Stegostoma tigrinum: one gene and its partner. The protein of the gene in region 2 purifies or fractionates together with the protein of the main gene of each other region. This does not show direct contact. Links are inferred from orthologs where the notes say so. Each region holds a gene or a part of one and is shown on either strand. Other genes may lie near its edges. The genes, in order: edc3 and pim1.

What was found.
Region 1: the proteins of pim1 (region 2) and edc3 purify together in Homo sapiens (affinity purification with mass spectrometry; 3 studies listed by BioGRID and IntAct, counting the BioPlex papers as one, with this or other methods). This does not show direct contact. The link is inferred for Stegostoma tigrinum from reciprocal best matches to the Homo sapiens genes PIM1 and EDC3.

What each region holds. Positions count from the first base shown.
Region 1 is NC_081389.1:17,318,616-17,331,632, forward strand, and holds the start of edc3 (enhancer of mRNA-decapping protein 3), read right to left. Parts: upstream 6,015-13,017; 5' UTR 5,903-6,014; intron 2,509-5,902; 5' UTR 2,495-2,508; coding exon 2,331-2,494; intron 1-2,330. UniProt on the Homo sapiens protein: Binds single-stranded RNA. Involved in the process of mRNA degradation and in the positive regulation of mRNA decapping. May play a role in spermiogenesis and oogenesis.
Region 2 is NC_081374.1:24,524,330-24,536,656, forward strand, and holds pim1 (serine/threonine-protein kinase pim-1), read left to right. Parts: upstream 1-6,009; 5' UTR 6,010-6,386; coding exon 6,387-6,471; intron 6,472-6,648; coding exon 6,649-6,749; intron 6,750-6,908; coding exon 6,909-6,959; intron 6,960-7,167; coding exon 7,168-7,534; intron 7,535-9,695; coding exon 9,696-9,872; intron 9,873-10,255; coding exon 10,256-10,443; 3' UTR 10,444-11,685; downstream 11,686-12,327. UniProt on the Homo sapiens protein: Proto-oncogene with serine/threonine kinase activity involved in cell survival and cell proliferation and thus providing a selective advantage in tumorigenesis.

The DNA of each region.
Region 1 (13,017 bases), on a different chromosome or scaffold from region 2:
CCTACTTCCTGTTCATTGTACTGACTTTCTCCATTATAAGTCCAAAGTCATTGGAAAAAAACTGCACACGTCTAAAATTGTCAACACAATGGCTCAAAAGTATCACAGCTTTCCATCTGCAAGATCCTCAAGCTGCATAGCGGAGAAAACACCTGTGTGTCAACCAAGTTGCTCCTGAAGAAATGTCAAAAATTTTGATCCTTAGCTTCAATGGAAAAACATGACAAGAGTGTGGAGTAAAGTGTGAGGGGCACACACACAGGGACACATCTTATGATCTTAAAATGGTAGCCGGTCCTGATCAGAGTACATGCTCACTTGTGAACATGACTTGATCCAAGTTAAGAGACAGGAAACAAAGAGGAAGAAAATTTAAAGATTAAATTTAAAATTTAATGTATTTTGCAACACTGAGTGGTTGGACTATTAAATGAACTATTTGAAGTTGTTGAGACAAGTTGAATTGAGGCATTCAAAAGGGTATAGGATGATTATTTGTATATAAATAATGTGCAAGGGTATGGAGATAAAGCAGGAAATTGGTAGCATGTAAAATGAAGCTCATTTAAAGAGTTGGTGCAAGCACAAGTCAAATGGCCCTCTGTGCCACAGTACTTGCGACTCTGAACTATCAGAATTAGTGACTGAAGTAGAAATCAGAGGACCATCTAAGAGCAGAATGAAAAAAAATCAATGACAGATTATGGCAACCGCATGGAATTCAAGCATTTTGTGTGGAAGATAAACAATGGACTGGTTCATTCATGCAGACTGTTTTCTAACTGTCATTTATTTCAATATATCTTGTTTTTTTGAAGTACATGGCCAGGATTTCTGCCAGCGCAAAGAGGTCCTACATTTAATTTGGTCAAGCATCTGAACTAAATTAGACTTTCCATTTATCACATGGCTATGGTTACATCAGGCAATATCTGAAACAACCAACTACCATTTGAAGAAATTAAGTTTAATTACAATCTTTTATACACCAGGGAAGTAGTCTGAAGGCATTGATTATAATGTCGTAATTCACAAGTGACAGGCCTGGAGCCACAGATGGCCACAAAAACATTGCTTTCTCAGTGCACACAAATAATGGACGGTAAATAGCTGTGGAGTGATATCATTTAATTGCATGTGCTAATAACTTTCATGTGGGGGGGGAAATGATTTGGGAATTAACAGGAGAATAAAAACATTTTATTGGAATTCTATCGGTGGAGATTGGGCTCTCACTTCACCTGGTTATATTAGGTATGCCCAAGCTTAAAGCCTGAATTTTATGGGGCTACACTTTTCACCCAAAGCTTTTCAAACACAGAATTCCGTTGAAAACCACTCTCAACGTAACTCTTCAAAACAGTCCCAACCCAACTAGCTTTATGTTTTAAAAAAGAAAATTTGTTGAAAAGACAGATATTCCTATTGTTGGCTTAGATAGCATATGTTCAAGTCCAGCACCTATCTTTTAACCCAAGAGCTGAGGAAGCCTACAGATCCCCATTGCTTTCTCGGTGGCAATATCTCAGCTAATCAAAGTTGAGTTGTCAACCTACCAATAGCCACGCTGCACTCTAAGAGAAACTGTTGCGATTGTTTGTAATTAGGCATCATTTCTGTCCTATTGCATACAAGATAAAGAATTTCCGATAGGATGATTCTAGATATATATGATCAAAGTACATTCTGCTGAGCATAAGACAGGGTAATGCAGACATACAGGCTTCAGTAAACACCAACAGACCTGTAGGAACTGGGAACAGTAATAACTAAACATATTTAAAATGACTTTAGAAGTGTAACATTACATAGTAATTGGTATTTTAGTCCCAATTATACCACCAGTTAAAGGTCTCATCATACTTCATGTACTTCAAAATTCTTACACATGCGGACTGCTCAGCGGACATAAACTCCTGACTGTCTCAAACGAGCACCACTTCAAACAAAATAAAACAGATGAAACAGCTTTCTCTTTTAACCCAAGAAGGAAGATTTCAAACTGGAAAACATTTGCTCAACAAATTATCAATAAATATTCCAGAAGCATACCTCTGAAATACGGTTTCAGCAACAAAAAGTCTAGTCCTCTTCAACCTGTCACCTTCCAAGCCTCAGAGAGATCTAAGGAGAACAATTATAAGCCCCAGCCAGGATGACTGAGACACTTTTGTAGGGACATTGCAACTTATAAATGCTCTCCAAAAATCATCCAAGTTTGATGACAAGATCACTGCTAAGTACCTTTGTTCAAGTATATGGTCAAGTACAAGCAGATTAGATGGCTGCAACTGGTTGACATTGAAGTCATTGAAATAACAAACACTTACCTAAATGTTAACTCGGGAACGGAACATTTCACTCCATTGCGGAATGGCTGTGTTAGAGAAATTGTCTGACTGGCTTGATCCACTGCAGAAATTTTTCCCTGATACACTCCAAGCGTCTCACCACAGTTAATAGAAACAAGGCTCCCAATCCAATTTACAGCCATCCTCTACAGCATAACTGAAAAAAGACAAGGAAACAGTTGTTATTCGTTTCATTCTTCATCAGCTTTAATTTCCAAATTAATCCTCAAAACTATCAGCAGTACTATAACCAGGCACTGCAGTCTGTGAATCTGTGTATAAGTAACGGTGCCATACAAAATACAGCAACTTTTTATTCCACTGCATTATCTATTTTTTGCTTTTTTTGTTGAAAACATGCCTTCAACATTTATCGTAAAATAGCTTGAAAGATGAAATGCACTGCAACATCTAACAGTCCAGCATAATAGTGGCTTTTATTTAATATTTCAAGTCCATGTTTCAATTATTTGAAATGGTTTTGTTTTTACTTCAGTAATTTAGCACATTTTTTGAAAATTCTTCTTCCAGCAACAACACTTAATTTATCAAAACAAAAACAGCTTCTCAACTGGTCAGAAAGTTTACATACTCTATAATAAAGAGATCTCATACACCTAAAAATTCCAAGATTTAATCTGCGATCTATGCTCAGTTAGTTAGTTCCTTCACACTGCAGGGACAAACACGCTGGATTTCCATCCCAACAGTATTGTGGGTCAACTGACAGTACAAGGACTGCAACTATTCAAGAAGGCAGCTTACCACCACCTTCTCAAGGGAAACTGGGGACAGGCAATAAGTGTTAGCCGGACAACAAGCTAATAATGCAGCCAAATAGCACTCTGCCACATTGCATCAAACCCTCATGAATAAATCGATACTTGAGTTGAATACTGAGACAATTTGAAAGCCAATGCTTTTAAGGAGAACATTTCTGAAAAGGCAAAGGAGAAAACCCAAAAACAATATTGCTTTTAACTTTTCATTTTAGTTCACTTCCAAAACTTAAGTGAACTAATAATTATCATGGCTCAGAACCATCAACACTCACCAAACGTTGCTGTTCTTATCCCACATTGTTTGTGTGAATATCAAAGAATATAGTTTCCTTTGGTTCCATACTAGGTATCACTCTGCAATCAAAATAAGCAGGCCACTAACCTATCCCCTTCACCGATCCTTCTTAGGCATTCATTCGAAATACAGCAAGACGTTCTTCCACTCCAATGTTGTGGTCCTGAAGTGACTAAACTGTTCACTGTCAGGTCTGCAAAATCTGTCACAAATGGGATGTTTAGCTTTTTGCCTCTTCAGTTGCCTGTGTTTAACCTCCACGTAGGACTGTCAGAGACACAGACTGATACCTGCACAGATGCTTCATCTACACAGGTTGGGCAGTCTTGAGCAAGCAATGCTCCATATGTCGATGGGAATATTGCAACTGATTTTTGTCCAGACATATCTGGAACATTAGCAGTCCAGTAATATTTTGGTCTATAAAACAACTGAATCAAAAAGCAATAAAGTGAACCATGCTACATGAGTGCTTGGCCTCCACAGTGCTGCTCTAATCTCTAGTGACTGCAGTTGGGAGCCTTTAAGTGTGCAGTTACATATCCAGTGTACAGCACTCTTAAATGCCTTGAACCACAAAAACATACTATTTTAAACTACTTTCTAGTAAACTGTTGCAACAAGTCATTTAAGTAAAATTAAACTGTGCACAATTAACATCCTACATTCTGAGAGTGTCACTGATCCCTCAAATTTTGGTAATCTTAATTACTGCAATCTCATTCAAATGTTGAGTAATTCATGTAATTGCAAAAGGAATTTTCAAATTTACAAAGATGCTCTGCACAAAACAGAATACCTGGCTCAACATTTGTCAAAATTGGTTAAAAAGTGAACACAACTCAAATATTAAATTTTTTGAAGTGTTCTGGGGAAATGGTTAAAAAACTTACTGCAAAATGTTCAATGGCATGCAATTTTATCAAAATATTACACCCCATCACTACCATGAGGCAAATTTGTAACACAAGGCACAGAAAGCAGGGCCACAGTTCCATACGCATGTCTGGAATGATTTATCAGTTTAAAAACAAACCAATATGAATTTTAAAACCATGCTTCAAAATCCAGAGTCAAAAACCATACAACCCATCTATTAAAAATGCTACTACCTACAAACAAGTCATTATGTCCCTGCTGAGAATCCATCAGTAAAGTATCACATTAGAAATTAGAACTCCTTAAAAATTTTATCTTTGAATTGAAATACTGGGTCAGTCTTAAGTCAACTACATTCTTGGCTTATAACATCCATTTTGTACAACAGCAAAACTCCAAAACTGGTAAAACTGCATACATCATACAAGTTTTATAATTTCAAGCTGAGAACACTATCAGCTAAAAACAGCATTCAGCATGGTAATTGTGGAATATATTGCCTGTTCCAACATTGAGCCTGCACACTCTCACTAAAGTGTAAGCACACAAATCCAAAAACGAGGATTCAAACACATGACTTTAAGCATTTATCTCTTCTCTCCAGCCACTACATCAACATAAGTGCAGCAGGGAGTTGTCTAGATTCACTTAGTTTTGAGGGCTTCTGGAATAGAGCAAAAAAGCAGAATGTGGCAGGTTGAGTGATGAACATTTGCAGTAGCTCTCTCCCAGACATCCACATACTTATAGCCATTGCTGTTTTCACAGAGAGACTATTATAGGGGAGGGGGACCGGTCGAAAACTTTTGGAGTGACAGAAGCACCAGTGCTATAGCATGAAAGAAGGCTGTAAATGGACAAACAAACCAACAAACTATAATTCTTTCCCTTGAGATACAGGCACCACTGGCAAGGCCAAACTTTACTGTGGATCCCTAATTGCTATTTCGCCAAGCGGATTGCTAGGCCATTTCTGAGGGTAGTTAAGAGTAAACCATATTATCTGTTCTGGAGAAGGATCATCAGTGCCAAAACATTAACTTTTTTTGTTTCTTCACAGATGTTGCCAGACCTATTGAACGTTTTCAGCATCTTCTGTTTTTGTTCCATATTGCTGTAGGTGCGGAGTATTACGTAAATCAAACCAGAGAAGGATGGCAAACCTATTTTCCTCATAAAACCAAGTGAATTTTTGAGAACATTGATTATGGTTGCCATGGACCCCATTGAGGTTAGCTTTAGATTCCAGGTTTGAATAACTGAACAGGTATTCCACCAGTCACTTGGATGGAATATAAAACCAAAGCCTCACAGCATCAGCCAGGCTTGCTGGATTACTAGCTCAGAGCGTCATTTTCACTATGCCTCCATAGTGTCTCCTCACCATCACCGAAGGACTAGGACTAGGCTGCAGCTGCAGCTGCAAAAAAGATGGACCGGACATTTGCTGCTGAATTAGACTGGAGTGGACGGTAGGCCCAATCCAACTTCCAGGCCTAACAGTATCCAAACTCCTCACCCACCCGCAGACCCAAAAAGAAAATACAAGCGTTTCCGGTTAGACACATCGCGATAAGCTCGGCAGGATCCCTTACGTCGTATCTAAAGAAGGGACGATGTGAAAATGAGCTGGCCAGCGAGTCACTAAGATTCAGCAACGACGGCAGACACACCACTCCGCCATCGCCAGTCCCACTTCTGCGCCTGCGCGGGCCGCGCACTGACATCACACCCTCCTAGCAACCAGTCTTCACTTCCGGCCCTCCTCTCCCTCCCATAGCAACGGGGAGACAATCTCCATCCTAGGGAGATCTGCTGAATGTCAGCAGCCCTGCTCTTCTTAACGAAAATCGGTTAGTAATCAAAATATTACCGAATGAACCTGCTCAGAGGTGTCTGCTTATTGTACACTTCTGGAGGAATTTGAACCAGGGTTTCCGAGCTTTGAGGCAGGGACATTACCACTGCACCACAAGAGTCCGTAGGGTCTAGCTAGCATCTCCCAATCACCAGACCACACCGATTGATCAGTCTGTAGATATCTTGTAATCATCTTGATTAGAGATGTTAGTGTACACCTCTGAAGCAGGTAGAACTTGAGTCCAGGTCTCCTGGCTCAGAAGTAGGGTTTCAACGACTGCGCCCCGAGACCCTTTGCTTAGTAATCAATTCTTAATTACTATTAATCATTCAAGACGCTCATTCTTCATTTGATGACTTCCAGCCCTTTAAGGGGTCTATAGCAACGCTGTGACTCAACGAAAGTTGCCCTACAGATACTTTAATTTTAAGTTCACATATGTATCTTCACAATTATGAAAGTCACAATGTTTAGTCAATTCAGGCTAGAGAATGTCTTTTTAATGTAGTAGAATGTTATGAGCAGTAAAAAAACTGATAAATTGTGTTTGGAAGTGTGTTTAAATGCTGAGTCAAGGAGATAAATTTTAAGCAGCATTGTAAAGAGGAGGGAGATGCAGTAAGTTTTGGGTTGAGAATTCCAGAACTTAAAACCCACGTTCCTGAAGAGGAAACAATATTGTCAACAATATAATAACTTAAAAATTGGGAATGCAAAAAAAAACCAACATTTGGGAAAGCGCAGTGATCTTGGAGGATTGTAAAGCAAGCATGATGTTAAAATTACAGACTTATTTGGAATGCATGTAGGATATATGGCAAGAAATATGGCAAGCTACTGACATTAACAGGCACCAACAAGGCTCCTTTCCAAAGAGTGAAGCAAAGCTTTTTAAACCATGACATCTCAAAACTATTTTAAAGAAGGGAAATTGATAACTTACTTGAGAAAAATGAATGTTGAAAGATAAGGGGAGTGATTTCAAGAGTGTGATTAGACTGTATGTCTCGCAGAGAGAAAACATTGGCATTGATTCGACAATTTCTGATATGATGTTGTGATAAAGATTTTTTCAGTTGGATCTTCTCTAACAGTGAGTCAATAATGCTAGAGAGGGCATCATTAAAACCTCCAAGATTACAAAAAAATGACTCAAATATGTAGTAAATAAAGAAGGAAAGACATTTACATCATGCTTTCCATGACCGCCAGACATCTCAAAGCATATCTCACACTGTGAAATACTTCTGAAGTGTGGTTCCTGTTTTGATGTAAGAAATAAGACAGCCAGTTTGCACACAGCAAGATCTCACAAACAGCAAGGTGACAAAGGCCAGATAGCCCTGTTAACATGATGTTGATTGAAGGATAAATATCAGCCAGCATGTCAAGAACAAACCTCTTGTTCCTCCATAGAATAATTCAATGGATTAGTTTACATTCACCCAAACAGATAGGCCTGTCCTCAGTTTACCTGAAAAACAAACCCTCAATCAGCACAATTTAACCTAGAACTGCAGTGGACTAAGGGGCATGAGTTTTGTATGTCAACCCTGGAGTGAGACTTGAACCAGATCCTTGTGGTACCATCTAATGAAATTAGAATTGAGTCGCTTGAGTTGTGGTTAAAAACAGAAACAGCTGGAAATGCTCAACTGATCTTGTAGTATCTGTTGTGAGAGAAACAGATTTTGTTTTGATTCAGATGTGATTCTTTTGTTGAGCTGAAGGAAGCTGGAAATGTTATGGGCTAAGTGCCACTGAAATGTCAGATGGAGAGGATGAGCAAAAGCAAAGGAGAATTTAAATAACAAAGATGTTATGAAACAAAGCCAAAGAGCAAATTAATGGATATGGTGAAGAACCAAAGCATTAATCCAGCCTGAATGGAAGAATAATAAGCAGCTCTGACCAAGAGCAAAAGCGCAGAAACAATAACAGCACATGGCAAAAAAAATGAAAATCAGGATGGAGGGACAGTGCTCATGGTCTGAAATTGTTGAACTCAATATCCAGTTCAAAAGCCTGTAAAAAGTGCCAAATCAGAAGATGAGATGTTTCTCGAGCTCCACTGGCAAAAGACTGATATATTAACAAGATCAAATAAGTTTTCAAGAAAGCAGAAGCTTGTGGGCTGAGGCAGAGGCATTCCACAAAATGGTCACTCATTCTGCATTTGGCTCCTTGGTGTTAAACGTACCACAATACAGGTAGTAAATATAACATACTAAATTAAAAGTAGTACAGGTAAATTGTTGCAGCACCTTGAAAGAGCTTGGACAATGATTGCAGGTGGCGGGGTGGGACTGTGGGTAAGGGGAAGGTGTTACACCTCTTGTGACTGTTTGAGTATTTGCCACGGGAGAGATAATGGCTATGATGTGAAGATCAGTGTGTTTCAACAAAAAAATGTCCCTTTGAAGTACGCAGGAGAGGGAGCATACAGTGGTGTTACTGTAGTAGAAGTGACAAAAATTTTGAGGGTCAAATTTACAGGTTTCAATACCACATGTGACTGAAGTTAAATTTGGATGAGGCTTTAAAAGCAAGACATTATAACAAAGGAATTTCAGGTTGATGAAATTGATCCAATTGACTTGTCTGTTTCTGTGCTGTAAGTCCTATATAATTCGATGTAAGGACTCTTAAGAGAGTGGAGGAACGCAGGAGATCCAAGTTGAATAGAGATTAGCCTATTTAGGAAAGGATTCTGGCTGCAAAATGCAATAAAAGGCCATTTTCATTCTGGGTTTGTATGCAGAGGAGCATAAAATGTAAGAAGAAAGTGATACTAAATTAGTGCAAGGCGATAATTAGCTTGCAGCTGGAGTATTGTGATTGGAAGAACATCAGAATCACAAATGGCTACAGAATGATGAGAAACAAGAAATTATAATTACAGAGCAAGCTTTGAAACAGTGGATTTTTCCCCCAAAAGAGTGAAGATTAACTGCAATGTAATGGGTTTTCATAAGTATAAATAGTCTTGATGTGGCAAGTAGTGAAATATTGTTTCAACTGGATCATGAATTAATAACAAGGGAGTACATACTCAACCCTGCCATTGCGAGAACAAAATTAAAAGTTAAAAGAAACATTTTCACAGTCATTAGACCATGGAATACTTTGCAAGACGGGGTTATTGAGGTACTGTTGATAATATAAAAGGAACTTGGCTAAATATTTGAAAAGAGAAGATTACAGAAGGTCCAGTGGAAATGGTAAGAACATTGTGTTTTGACTTGATGGTTCCAGTATGACAGAAACATAAATGCTAATGTTAAAGATGCACTATAATTTCTATATGAGTCATGAACATCAAATCACTTTGAAGCATATTACTGTAATAATTATCTTGTGCTAAGCGAAGGTAAATAGGATTGGTGATAAATAACCAGATAATCAGTACCACTAGTGGTAGAAGTTAATGAAAGTATGTTATCCAGGAGACCTCCTTTTTAAAAGAAACACCATGGAATCACAGTGGATTATGCAGAACAGGGATCTGTTTAACATTTTGTCTGAAGGATGGCACCTCTAACAGTGTAGCGCAGCCTTAGCTCTGTTTTAGGTTTTTAGCCTGGATGAGGAGTTCAAAGCCACAACTTCAGAATTAGGGTCATTGGGATATAAAGCACGGAAACAGACCCTTCAGTTCAACTCGTCCATGCCAACCAGTTTTCCTAAATTAACCTAGTCCCATTTGCCAGCATTTGGCCCATGTCCCTCTAAACTCTTCCAATACACATACCCATCCAAAAGCCTTTTCAGCCTCCACCAATTCCTCTGACAGCTCGTTCCATACACAAACCACCCTCTATGTGAAAACGTTGCTCTTCAGGTCCTTTGTAATGCTTTCCCCTCTCATCTTAAACTTATGCCCTCTAGTTTTGGACTCTCCTACATTGAGAAAAAGATCTGACTATTCTCCCTATCCATGCCCCTCATGATTTTATAAACTTCTATAAGGTCACCCCTCAGCCTCCGATGCTCCATGGAAAATAGCCCCAGCCTATTCAGCCTCTCCCTTTAGTTCAAACGTCCAAGCCTGGCAACATCCTTGTAATTCTTATCTGAACCCTTTCAAGTTTCGCAGCTCTTTCCCATAAATAGGAGACCTGAATCAAATGCTGTATTCCAAAAGTGGCCTAACTAATGTCCTGTGCAGCCGCAACCTGACCTCCCGACTCCTTTACGCAATGCAGTGACCAATAAAGGCAAGCATACCAAATGCCTTCTTCACTACACTGTCTACCTGCGACTGCACTTTCAAGGAACTATGAACCTGCACGCTAAGGTCACTTTATAAACACTATTTTTAATATTTCAACTAAGCTGAGACTTATAATTTATTACATCAAACATTAACAATTTAATGTCAAGTATAACTAATTTGTTAACAAAGTAATGTCAATATAACTAATTTGTCAGACAATCGATTGTTCCATGTCTTCTGATAGTTACATTTCTATCCGTTGCTGAAACTCTTACCCATTCTCTTGTTTTCTCCAAACTGAGTGCGTCAATACCATCCTAGCAGGTCACCCATAAAGATAAGAATATCCAAAGCTCTGTTGCTCCTTTCATAACCCATTCTGTCTTCTATTCATCTACCATACTTTTGCATGCTGGCTTGGACTGTCTCCCATTCGCCAACATTGATTTTCCTGTTTAAATCCCAGGCCTTCCTATCTCTATAACTTTCTAGCTCTACAGACCAGTAATATGGTTCATCACCATGTTTCTTCAACTTCGGGCTGTTCTGAATCAGCCGATTCCTACCAACCCATCGCTTATGGACATGCCTTTAGCAGTTTTCGCACAAAGTTCTGGAACTTTCTCCTTAAGCTTTGGTTTCTCTACCTCCATCTTCTTCAAAACCCTCCTTAAATCTACCAAACCTTTAGTCAGCTAATCTAATATCTCCTTTTAATTTGGTGCTAGTTTTTGTCTAGCTGCACTGATAAAAGCCCAATATATATTAAGTAGTTATATTGTTTTCATCATCTCTGTTGTTCAAGCTTAGATATCCTCTACTGTGCCTTAAACAACAGCAAAAGAATGGGTTTCTTATTTGGTCTGTGCTGATGAACTAACCACGCCAGACTTTGTTTCTCTGGTCCTGTGCAGGATAATGGGTAACAAGAGTCTGCCACACATCTACTGTAATCTCATCCACATGATGCCCCACACTTGTTTTATTTTTGCCACGTCTTCTTTAGCCAGCCCCATCTTTCCCCCTCCTTGTGAAGTCCATTCAGTTGCCACTCTGGCAAGGTGTACATCTGGGAGGAAAAAAACATGTTCTGCTAGTCACAGTGATCTCTCCATCTTGTTACACTGTAGGCACAGGACAAGTGTTACAGTCCTGTGTAACACTTATTCGTTAGCGATGTCATCAACCCAAGTGATGCCTAAGATCTTACATATGCAACCTTGATAGATGACATCCAATTTATGTGACACCTTTGCTGTTCTCTTTCAGGCCTCACTGGCATGGATTGCAGTTGGTACCACAGTGAGCATGTAGAATCACAGCTTATTAGCCATATTGATGGTGCTCAACACCAACACCATATGCGATCATTGGAAGACCAGTGTTGTTTTGCCATGTTGGAGATGTTGCTTCCTAGGTAGGGGAGGTGATCCATCTGCTGAATATTCTTTTGGCCTATGGCGATGGTAGAGTTGGCTTTTTGCCATCCAGTCATTGTTGTCTTGGTCTTCTAACAGCTGACAGTGTAAACCAACATTAGCACATCTATACTCAGTACTTGTGTTCATGTCTAGGAAGTATGAATCTTCAGCCAGCAAGGCATTGTTGTCTGCTAGTCTGCAGTCTGGACCACCATGGTCTTTGTCTTGATGAAAATCAATAACCAAAAGGAATAAGAATGAGAAAAGAATATACAGCCTTTCTGTAGTCCTGTGGTGATTTTGTAGGAGTCTACAGCTAGTGTTGTGTAATAAGGCTTTGAGAACATTAATTATCCATTACTGGGTACAATACTGTGTTGTGATACACCAGAGTGACTACTGATGGATGCTTAAAGACGTGTTGAAATTAATTAACTTGATGACATGTGGCTTCTGATACTCTGGGCTCTGTTCTTTAATGTTCCTGAGGGTAAAGATCTGCTTGCGATAAGAAGTATCACCCTATGAACTGTCCTGTATTTCACAAAAAATTCAGCCATGGTTCCAAATCTGGTGCAATGACCTCAACAGAACAACATGTTTAAGAATGCTTAAATTACCTAACCTATGCATGCATCAGCCTATGTCAGCGCTTATCCATCACTTGAGCTTCCTCCAACCTTTCCTCATCTAAAAACACCACTGAACAATCTATTTCCTTCTCCTCATATCTTTAACCTTGTTTCCCCTTTATGTATTTAAACTATTTACATCAACTACTCCAACTACAGTTCCAAATTCTCACCCTCTGGATAAAGATATTTCTTCCAATCCCTTATTGGATACCTTGGTGGCTATACTGTGTTGATAAAATATAAAATACTCTTCCACTCTATATATCCATTCTGTCAAAGTCATCATAATTTTACAAACCTAGATATAGGTCTGTCAAATCATTTTGTAACATGCCTTCAGTGTATGTATGGATTAGATATCCTTTATAACCAAGTATACTACTGACGCTCATTGTCAAGGCTCATTTATGAATATTCAATGTAAACTTTCAAGTCAAGGAAAGAAAAAATTGATGAGGTGCAACGAGGAAGAGAAAAACTGTCCAATTTTTGATCTACTCCAAAGTACAACATGTGCTTGTTTAGGTTCATGATTTTTCTTATCATAAAATTTCATTAATATATTTCACTGGCTTTG
Region 2 (12,327 bases):
GTCTATCCTGTTATGGCTCTCACAATCTTGTTCATTAAAAAGATTATGTCTCATTTTCTAAACTCAAGCAATTGAAGGCCCAACATATTCAGCCACTATCACAGGCCAATCCTCATTCTGCGAATTAATTTAGTAATATATTGCTGCGTTGCCTGCAAGGCATTATATCCTACTTTAAATATGGAGACCAAGGACTGGATTTTCATGTTGTACAGGAAAAAAAAGCTAGTTTCGTCCTTTTTTTGTGGCATTTGATCCATATTCTCAACATAATTTCATTTCCAAGGGACGTGGACAGGGAAGGCTCAGGTTTTGCAAGCTGTGAGGCAATGCAAGAAAAGTGAGGGAGGAAAGCAGATGCTGACGTAGGCCGATTAGAAGCGCTTCTCAGTTCTTAGGGACAACAACATATCTCACACAACATTTTTCTTATATTCCTAAGCCTCACACCCATCAATTCTCACGTATTTTTCATGCCTCCCCGTTCCCCCTCCATTCTGCATAGCCACGAATGTAGTATCTACTACATGTAGTTACAGTATTGAATTTTGGACTCTTTGCTGTAGGAAGGATGTTGTGAAACTTGAAAGGGTTCAGAAAAGATTTGCAAGGATGTTGCCAGGGTTGGAGGGTTTGAGCTATAGGGAGAGGCTGAATAGGTTGGGGCTATTTTCCCTGTAGCATCACAGAGTGAGGAGTGACCTAATAGAGGTTTACAAAATCATGAGGGGCATGGATAAGGTGAATAGATTCACGGTCACAGAAACAGACTCTTTGCTCCAATTCGTCCATGCCGATCAGATATCCTAAATCAATCTAGTCCCATTTGGCAGCATTTGGCACATATCCCTCCCAACCGTTCCTATACATATACCCATCCAGATGTGTTTTAAATGTTGTAATTGTCACTTCCCATGTGTTCTCTACCTTTGATCTCTCTTCCTCTCTTTTAAAATGCCATTGTTTTGATCTTTTTTCACAAAGTTCCAAAACAATGCAACAGCTAATATAATAATAATTACTGCTCCTAGAATTTGAGGAAATCAGCTCCAACACTGAAAATCCCTCAAAAAATGAAACAACTCTTACAGTCACAATTTTTCCTCTTTCTTGGATTACACAGAAGCCTTAGCCAAGGTCTTTTCCCGGGGGTGGGAAAGTCCAAAACTGAAGGACATAGTTTTAAGACGATAGGGGAAAGATTTAAAAGGGACTAAGGGGCAACTATTTCACACAGAGGATGCTGTACATATGGAATGAATTACCAGATTAGGTGGTGGAGGCTGGTACGTTAAATAAAGACATCTGGATGGGTGTATGAATAGGAACGGTTTAGAGGGATATGGGGTAAATGCTGGCAATTTTGGCTATATTTATTTAGGACGTCTGGTTGGCATGGACAAGTTGGACCGAAGGGTCTGTTTCCATGCTGTACAGGTCTATGACCCTATATCTCTATGTAGACATTCAGGATGTTTTGAAATGAATATTAAAAACTTACTAACTTCTAACACTGTAGATCCCACACTCAAAGACACATCATAGTGAAATGATTCTTAAATAAGTTAAGATATCCCCTCACTTACATAAATTATTGTAAATACAAACACTTATTATATCATATATGTTTATTATATCATTTACGATATCCATTTAATATATATACACTACATTAATGCTACTATCCTTTAATAACCCTTTAAAATGGTCAATCAAAATGCGAACACCCCCACAGACAGCCTACTGTAAATGGTCCTGGAATTGTTGAAATTCAGCTAAGCATTCAAAACAAATAAATAGGATTTTAGCCAACCCTGAGAATTGTAATCAACATTGCCCATTGAAATTACAAGAATAGGCTACTTTTTAAAAAAACTGTAGGTGTTGTTTAATTTCCACTTGAAAGCAAAATACCCTTCAGTCAATGGATCAGAACAGGTGATAGTAGGACCTGCAGATGCTGGAGAATCTGAGATAACAAGGTGTCGAACTGGGTGAACACAGCAGGCCAAGCAGCATCATAGGAGCAGGAAGGCTGATGTTTCGGGCCTAGACCCTTCCGAAACCTCAGCCTTCCTGCTCCTCTGATGCTCATTTGGATCAGAACAGGTGCTTATTTTGTTTACTTTCAACAGCAGTGAATTTTTTCAATATCTTCTGAACTTAAATCACAGCACAAAACATGACAGGTGTTTTGCCTGCCCATTGGTATGCAGTTTTAAATAGATTATGTCATTTTCTCCAGTGAAAATGTTCTCTGTTGCTTCCAGCACTTAAATAATGCTCATCAGTGTAATGGTCAACATATCTTTTCAGGACAGAACCCTATGATGAATCACTGAATTAAAATGCTGTATATTGCAATACAGCATCTGACAGTAACATTTTAAGTTGTCAAATTACTTAACACTTGCCTCTAAGAATATTTCTGATTGGACAGGCTTCCCAGTTGGAACTCTCCAACAAGGTATGGTTTATTTTCAGCCTTCCACAACCATCAATGGTATACCAGTACAGTGGACAGAGGAAGTTCAAATTTATGATGTGGCTCAATTTCAGGAGTCACAACTCAAAGCCTACCTAATCCATGAAATTAAAATGCAATAGCCAAAAATAGTGCCTGATCCAGGGGGGAGAGAACATTTGTGTTTTCTGTAGTGAAATACAGCAAGATTCCATACCAACATCATGCACATTGAGATAAATATTCAACCCTGAAACTACTGCTCATCCTGCTGTAGTCTCACAAAAACCCAATACTGTACAATTATAGTAATATTTTCTTTTTCTTGCACTCCAGCCCCTTTGCAATAAAGTCTAATGCGCTAATTGCATTTCCAATTGCTTGTTGTAAATGCATGCTAACTTTCTGTGTTCCTCGTGTGAATACACCAAAGTCTATCTGAACATCAGCATGTGCAAGTTACATGATTTTAAAAATATTCTGTTTTCTTGCGACCACAGTGAATAAGCTCAGAGTTTTCCCGCAACCTACTTCATCTGCCATCATGTTGCCCAATCATTTAACCTGTCTGTATCACTCTAGGCAGCCTGTTTGTATCCTCCTTATATCTCATTTTATATCAACAGAAAACTTGGATACAGTATTCTGTCTCTTAGTCAAAGTAATTAATAAAATGTTCTCAACATGTCTTTGCTGTCCTTACATTCCCTTTCTTTCAACTTTGTACTGTCTCTCATTTCTCTTGTTCTTCAAAATTGTTAAATCACAGATGGTTGTGGGTTATTTTTGAACACCTCCCACTGTTTACATCTAATGTTGTGTTATGTTTAATCATTCTTCCCGTCGGTGATGATCAATTTTTGCCCCAGCTGCAAAGTCAGCCTTCTTACATCGATTTAAAATGTGGTTGTGGTCCTCATCATATCTAATATTGAATTCTATTGTGCTGACTATGGACTAGGTATTTCTTTTAGTTTGATTATTGATTACAGAGATCTTCAGTTTAATAATTTATTCTGAATAAGATTTCCTCATTAGTGATTCAATTCTGAGATGGCTTTAATTTAGTTCCAAAACATCAGTGCCCATGAGGTAGTAATACAGCTGACTTTTTGTTGGCAGTTTGGCGTGCATCTGCAGCTGGGGTAACCAAGAACAGGCGAGAGTTAGTAGTGTCAATGTGTCAGTTCACAGATGTTGCTCCAATTAACATTAAACTAACACTTTTAGAAATTGAGCAGCTACTCTGCCTTAATCGTTTAAATCTTGCTTAATTTGGATTTACTTCAAAAGTAATTGTGGCTATCATTATAAAAATACCACACAAATCTTCTTTTGCACGAATTTATTGTGGGAATTGCATTCCATTGTCAACACGACAAGCAGCTAACAAAGCTGTGGTGGGTGGCACAGCAACAAATTTCTACTTTGTTCCCCTTGTTATCTGGCAGCCTGGGTACGGGGTGGTCCTATGGTGAGTCGATGCCACTTTCTCCGTACATCTAAAAAGAATCTGGTGGTCCCGATCGAAGGAAACATTCAGTTTCCTACACAGAGGAGAGTCAGTTCCCGGGGATGGTAAGCAAGATTACAGAGCCAGTCACCCGAAGCCTGGCTATTCTTGTGTACCACCAGGTATCTGGGTCAAAAGTGATATTGGAGATAGGCTGGAAGCAAAATCTCCTGCGTGACCTTACACGGCTCGGACATGGTATGTGACCCAGAGTGAGCATGAGAGGAACAGAAGAAAATGTAAATAACATTTTTTAAAAATCTCTTTAACGCCCTTCGCACAGCTCTCCACAACAGTTCAAATTTCGGTTTTGTTTTGATTCACAGTTATCAAACTCCACCCAATAGGATTTGAATCTGAACTTTCAAGTTGTAATCATTTCAGTACACCCTTGGAAGCAAAAACAGTGAGGAAATTCCTGAGATGTGATGCGTTGCAAAAAAGAAGCTTTCATGTTTTGAGCAGCGACCTCCATCGACTAACACTGGCTATGTTACAGTTTCGCTTGCTCTAACTTGTACCTGATCTCGGGGGAAAAAAAAGGCAGCTTTTTGTGATTCATTCCCACATGCTGAAAGGCGGCGGCCACCCAATTCGAAACTATGTCAGGAATGCAGCATCTTCTCACTGGCACCATTCAGAGCAGATTTGTATCGCCCTGCGGTTTTCCCAGAAATTATTCATCTCATTGCAAAACTCATTAACTCATTCTCCCTGAAATCTAAAATTAAGCCCCAAACCTGAAGGGTTTCGCCTGGCCAGATGAATAACAATTAATTTGGCATCAGTAAAAGACCATATCTACATTGATGTTCGCAGTTTACGATCGGGCGGGAAATAACAGAGTCCGAACTATTTTGTCCACACCCATTAATTATCACTGCAAAAATCTTTCCTTTCATCCTATCCAGTTTTCATGCACAAATGCATGAAAAATAAATGGAAGTGACTTTAGAAGCACTGTTGCTAACATGCACCTTGCATAAATGGTAGCTGAATAACGGGTGGCCACATGTTTGCAACAAAAAAAATCAAAAATTTAAACTACCTGTAATTGTGGTTGCGAATTCGAAATACATTTAAACATTACATTTTGCATAATATTGCACACTGATTAACCTTAAAGAGTTCTAATATTCTGATTCATTTATTTTGAGCACAATTGGATGTAATTCTTGATTAGTGTTTATTTTTGTCACCAATTGTGCACGCCCCCTTTAGGTGATAATTAACTCTAACGTGTGTACAGCAGATTGTTTTTATTGAAAATTAATATAGAAATCAAGCTATTTTAAAATATAAAGTACAGCAAAGATCGCAATGAATACAAAAAGGCCCGCAGTAACATTTCCTGGGCACTTGCGCATTCTGCCTTTCCGATAATCGTCAGTTGTGAGGTCAAATTAAATAATTCCCTCTTTCAAATGTAGCGGTGTTAGACATCCACAATGGAATTAACCTTGCAACATACTTGGCGGAAACACCTCTGTATATTGTACAACATGACTTTAAATACAAATAAAACCTTATTAATCGGGAAAGTTATAAAATGGGAGGAGCATTTTTGTGCACTGGAGATTTTCGAGTATAACATTTTAAGACAATATGTTGTGAAATCGCCCACTACACTAGAACAATGCATTCACGGTAAGGATCTGCATAGTTCAGCTCAAAACACGCCTCTGCATTTTTTGAACTACTCGGTTCGCTCCTGCCAAATGTATTGCCTGCAAAACTGCAGTGGCTACTCCCGCGGAAAGGAAAAAAAAAACGCCATTGTCGCTCCCCTTTAAAAATATTTGTCTACAGCCAGTGGATCAAAGCTATTTGTAAGCAGACATGCAAGAGGCATTTTTTGGCGCGTAGTCATTCCCGCCACGTCGAGTCTAGTCAGTTTCATTCTTTTATTTTTTTCGCTCTGTGATAGGCAGATCATTGCTACCCTCCTATTGGATTGCCTGACGTATTTCAAAGTGGGCAGTTCCTCTGAGGTTTGCTGATGGTGTACGGCTCGCCCTTTTTTTTACTATCTGTATATAGTGGTTGCTACTAACAGAACGCACTCCAAGTAAAGCCGGGGAATCAGCGTGATACAAAGACGCGGCTCTGATCCTTTTCTCCACCCCCATCACCCGCCCCCTTTTACATTTTCCTTCCTCATCCAAAAGAACTGATTTCCTGCTCGAAAGGGACTTAATCATCTGCCCGGGACACTGGGAGAAACAGACGCTTTGGAATAAGGGAAACATTTGTAGGATCGCAGCTGTGTGTTTCTTCGCAACGTGGTGTGGGTGAAATTTGCCGGCTTCCCCCCCACCCCCTTACCCTCTCTACTCCCTTTTTGGTGAAATCCCACTCGGAACCTTGGAAGTGATAACCGAGTCTGCAGTCGAGGTTTTCCAGAGGGGGATGCTGCTTTCAAAGATCGGATCCTTCACTCATATGTACTCGACATCAAACGTGGATATGCCGGCGAAAATTCAGTTGCAACAAGGTATCTGTTTAACATTTCCTACGTGTTTACGGAGCCTCCCTGTCTCACTGTGAAAGGGGTTTTGTGTTGTAACGGTGTTATCGTTAACCATGTGGAGCTCGGAGACAACAAAAGAGGCGCCGATTTCGTGATAGTGAAGATGGGCTAATCTTTTCTCCCTCCTTTCTGTTCTTCCAGTGAAAGAGCCTTTTGAAAAGATTTACCAAGTTGGATCTGTCCTCGGTAGTGGTGGATTTGGGACTGTTTATTCTGGGGTTCGAGTTGCTGATGGCGTGCAGGTAACTATGTTTTGAAGTCTGCGTTTCCCTCTCTGTTTTATCTCCCCAAACTTTGTGCAAATCCTTCTGAACAACCACCACCCCCCTCCAAAAAATACCTTTTTCATAGACGACTCGCTGGATTCGGTGACTGAATGGACCTTTCTGTTTATATTGCAGGTTGCGATCAAACACGTTGCTAGAGATCGGGTGTCAGAATGGGCTGAACTGGTAAGTAAAATGCGAAACTCGTGCCTTTTTGTATGCCTTTGTAATCACAGTATCAAGTCCTTTTTAAAATGAAATCCTATTTTGACAGATGTATTTAACTATTTACATTGAGGCGGGAAGTAAGCGATACATGAAGTTGTGGGTTGGGATGCGGAGTGATTGCTTGGTGTTTCATTGGGTTTATTTTTTGTGTGTGTTCTCCCTGCAGTCTAATGGAGCAAGGGTTCCCATGGAGATAGCGCTTCTGAAGAGGGTGGGCACGGGCTGTCGGGGTGTAATCAAAATGCTGGACTGGTTCGAGAGACCCGACAGCTTCATCATCGTCATGGAGAGACCTGAGCACGTTAAGGACTTGTTTGATTTTATCACCGAGAAGGGAGCCCTACCGGAGGACTTGGCTAAAAACTTTTTCCGCCAGATCCTGGAGGCGGTGAGACACTGTCATAACTGCGGAGTGGTTCACCGAGATATCAAGGACGAGAATATCCTGATTGATATGAGGACCGGGGAGCTCAAACTCATCGATTTTGGCTCGGGGGCTCTGTTAAAGGATACCGTCTACACTGATTTTGATGGTGAGCAATATTACTACAAAGGGGAATTTCCACCATTAAAAATAAGCTTAATTAGTCCAGTCAGTCCTGTTGCGTTAAGATACCAGAGGCTAGTGTTAAATGAGATTCAGCATTCCGAAATGACTTAATAAATTACATATTTAGACTTTAGTTTTGGAAAGAGTTATTTTGAGGTGATTGGATTTGGAATCCATTTGTCATAGTGAGATTTTTTTGCGCGGTAGTAACAAGCCGTTTTGTTATTGTTTTGATGGCTTTATTTCCTTATTTGGATGGTGATGTGGCTGCGACGGGGCGCCTGCTTGTCAGAGGCGTAGCGTTGATCGAAAGAGTGCAGCGCAAACACTGTCTCGCTGCAATGGGCGGCCAGAGGCAGGGGGCTCTTAAGGTAACATCAAATCACGAGGGATGGATGCGTAATTAATGGGGAGGTGGTGGGAATTGCCGAGCGCCAGAAACAAAAAACCCACCCGCCCACATAAAACTATTACCCAGATACAAGAGGCTGAATCATAACAGGCTGAGAAATTTCGAGTCGTGATATTTATGGGCAGTGTTTACAAGAGCTTGGGGAAGGGGGCATTTGCAGGGTTATTTTGCCTCTGTTTTTTGGAAAAAATAAAATGAAATGATTGATTTGTTTTTGTTTTGTGTTATCTCTCTCAGTGATCCAGGGCTTGGGTGGATCAAAGAGGGGAGGGAGGAGTGGGCTTAGGCTGGGGCTACAGCAGACAGACAGGACGGAGTCTCCCTCTGCCAGATGTTGGGAAGAGGAGAGGTGATGTCCGTCCGTCTCGGGGTTTGTAATGTAGCCTGTAGACGGCGTGTCTCCCTCCTGTTGTTGTTCCCAGTGTTTGCTGCCGTCGTTGGCTGAGTTTCTGGCAATGTGCCACCCTTTTGTTTTGGAGATTGCTTTCCTCCTGTGTAACGCTGTTTTCCTTTTCTTTCCTATTTGGAAACTGATGCAAATAATCAGGTTTTTTTTACACTGGAGCCGAGGTGAATCTTGTTTTTATTTATCTTGTGCCTCTTCTGTGTTTTTTTTAAATTACAAATGTTGCCCACATTTTCAGCTCTTCCCCCAAGTTTCGTCATGGAATTGTTTTGAAACCCGATAATCATGTTACCTGGGGCTATGGTGACGGGAAATAGGTTACTCTCTTGTTGATATCAAGTGGCCGATTGATAAATTATTAAGTTAGCTCAATGTCAGGGCTGGAGTGGAATAAACCCTCTGAAAAGACGTGGGGAGGCTGTTCTTTTAACTGCGAAAACCAAGAAGCAGTTTAAAACCAAACCATTGACATTTCAGAACAGCATTTTTAATGGTCCCTTTTGTGCCATGTGATTTAATCTGTGTACGTAACTTATTAACGTCCATTTTCCAAATTAAGACAGCACTGACTTTTATTTAAAAAATAGTATTTATGTGTAAAATTATTTTTTAAAAATCGCTTCTCATGCATCTTAGCTTTAATGCTTGAAGCTGGCTGTTGTAAAGGTGCAGCTTTGGGGCTGCGCCCCGCAGAGGTGACGGCGCAGCCCATTGCCTATTTTCAAACATTAAACTCGTCTCCGAAGAACAACCAAAAATAAAAGAAAACCGTTAGTGAAAATTTTGAGTGTTTGGCGCCACCGGCAGGCGGGAGCGTGTGCTTTTTACAACTGAAAGTTTGTAAACAAAAAAATCACATGGCAACGAGTCAATAACTGCCAGTTCACGGCAGGGCAAGCAGGAAGCTTCAGGTTAACCACATTTCCTGCAAGCTAAGGGCGGAACGAGATAGTGTAGATGATTTGAATTTCAAGAGCTCAGCGCACTCTTTTGTTTACAAGAAATATGGCAAACGCTTTATCTTCTGTCTGCCAATAACAAGTTGCTCGAATCAAATGTGAAATGTTTTGACCTTGTGTGCAGCTTGGTTCCCATAAAATGCAACTACAGAAATCTGTACTGGACTTATTTTTAAGCTTTGTTATTATTTTATTACTTTAAGTCCATGGAGGAATGTGCAATAATCAGATCAGTTGTGATCTTATTGAAAGCCAGAGCGGGCTTCAGTAGTTTGCTTCGGCCCTGAATTTGTACGTTTGCATTTTAACAGCATAAAGGAATACCGGGAATGGTTTCATAAATGTGGATCTTTGTGTTGATTTGTAGGCACCAGAGTGTACAGCCCACCAGAGTGGATTCGCCATCACAGATATCACGGCAGATCTGCCACAGTTTGGTCCCTTGGAGTGCTTCTGTATGACATGGTATGTGGGGACATTCCGTTTGAGCAGGACGAAGAGATAATTCGAGGACAGGTGCTGTTCCGGCGGAGAATTTCATCTGGTAAGCAGCTTTTCCTACCTCCCATCTGAATGGAGGGAAATTGAAATATTTCTAGAAGATCTCCATCCTCTATACTGTGTAAATTTAGTCAATCATCATTGCTTTAAATAGTTTCATGGAATTTGTCAGGTACTTACCACAGTCAAATGCACTGTGACTTTTAATGATGTTTTGTACATACAATTAATATGTCAGTGGTATGTATCGTTATCACTAAAGTATTTATCTGCTTATATTAGACTGCCACAAAAATCTCAACTGGGTTACACACCATAGTTACTACTTTATATCTGTCTGCTGAGTTGACAAACTGTTACATGTATGGAAAGTATAATCAGAAACTCAACACTGTTTATAATCCACGATTTCCTTCTTGCTTTCAGAATGTCAAAATCTCATCAAGTTCTGTCTATCCTTGAGGCCTTCAGATCGACCCTCATTTGAAGACATGATTAACCATCCCTGGATGCAGAACAGCATTGTTTCACAAGATACCATTGGACTAAGATTACACAGTCTGAGCCAAGAGTCACCCAACATTAGCTCAAGTAAATTAGAACTTGTGAAATAATGTGAACCGATGGTCACAAAACTGAACTGTCTCTGCCTTCCTTCCGAAGAACCAAATAACTCGCCTGGTTTCACTCACCAGATTCCATGGCCTTTTAAATCTACTGATTAGTGGGAGGGGTGATGAAGAACCAGAATCCTCTCCTTTGCAAGCGTCGGTTGTCATTAACTTGAATCATGCATTACGACAAGCCTGGCTCTTCCTCTTCGAGTGCCTTTTTTTATGAACGCTGGATCCACTAACTTAGAAAAGAAATACTTGAACTTCTGCTGCTTCTGAATAACTTGACTTTCCTTCGCACAATCTTCATACATAACACACACAGGGACTGGTCTAGTCTAGCTACTATTTTGTTTACAGCCTTCCAATAAAATAACTGAAGAGAACCCTTGTCACCTGAAGATCACCACTAATCAGAAAAGAGTCAACCTCAACTCTTCTTCATTCAGCTTACTTATTCAATACACTCAATATGAATATGAAGCCACGGCATGTCAGAGCATCATCATCAATGCACAACCAATGCAATGAATGAACTCTAACCATTTGTATATGTGTATGTATATATGTACGTGTGTATTATATGTAAATATATATGTATAGAAAGTGTAAATTCCTGTTTTTTTTTGTTGAAATACTGGTTATTGCAGCCTAAGTCAGCTGTCCTGTTTACCTGTTTATTTATTTGAGTGAAGTTGAGGTTTTTTTTTAAACAGATTTATTATATAAAAAGGTTTGACTTGTGGGTTAATTTATTTTTATTTATTTTTGGACAACTACCTTCCAACAGACTTGTTCATTCCACGATTATTAATTATTTGTTCAGAATGGGGCCCACAGATTTTCATAAGATCACGTCAGACTTTAGTTCAGTTCACTCTGTTTACAGCCAAAAGAAAACAGTGATGTCACTGAAAAGAATTCCAGACTTTGTAAATATAATATAGAGCACTTCTGTTAAATGCATGTTGAACCGAAAATGTATTTAATGTCTAGACTTGTTTTTTTTGGGGGGGGGGGGGGGGGTTTGTGACTTTTTTAATGTGTCCTGTGGACTGGTATGGGTTGAAATAGCTACCAGCTCAAAAATTTTTTTTTGTATATACAATATCTTTACACTAGTTTGGGTGCATGTAAGCAGCTTGAAGTTTGAATTGTTATTTGATTAGACCTGTAAATTAAACTAGAATGGAAGAAACTTATTTTTATACAGCATTTCAAATAAAACAAAATTTGCCTTAATTTACTTTGTCGTATTTGAGTACATATTCAAGAGTTATATATGAAATTGTGAAACTAGTTGCCTCCTGATTTTAGAGCCCCTACAGTGCAAGATGGCGGCCATTTGGCCCATCGAGTCTGCATCAGTCCTCCAAAGAGTCTCATGCCCAGATTCAGTCCCCCACCCTCTTCCCTGCAACACTGAATTAGCCATGGCTAATCCACCTAATGTAGGCATCCCTAGACATTGTGAACAATTAGCATGGCCAATCCACCTAAGCTGCTTATGTTTGAACTGTTGGGTGGAAACCAGAGCACACTGGAAACCTGTGCAGATACAGGGAGAATGTGAACACTCCACACAGTTACTCAAGGTTTGAATAGAACCCATACAGATCCCAATTTTCTTCTGTGCAGAGAGGTTGTCCTATAGTTCAGAACTTTGATAATTTAACGAAACGATCACCCTGCATTTTTATAAACCTCAACAGTGAGCATTTATGTAAGAAGACCAAGTGAGTGCGATAGTATCTCATGATTGGAATCCTATGAAATCCAAGAAAGTACTGGAAATACTCAGCAGGTTAGATAGCTGTGAACAGAATTCAGGGATAATATTTCTGGTTGATGATCTTCCAGTAATCTTCCAGTAGTAAACAGTTT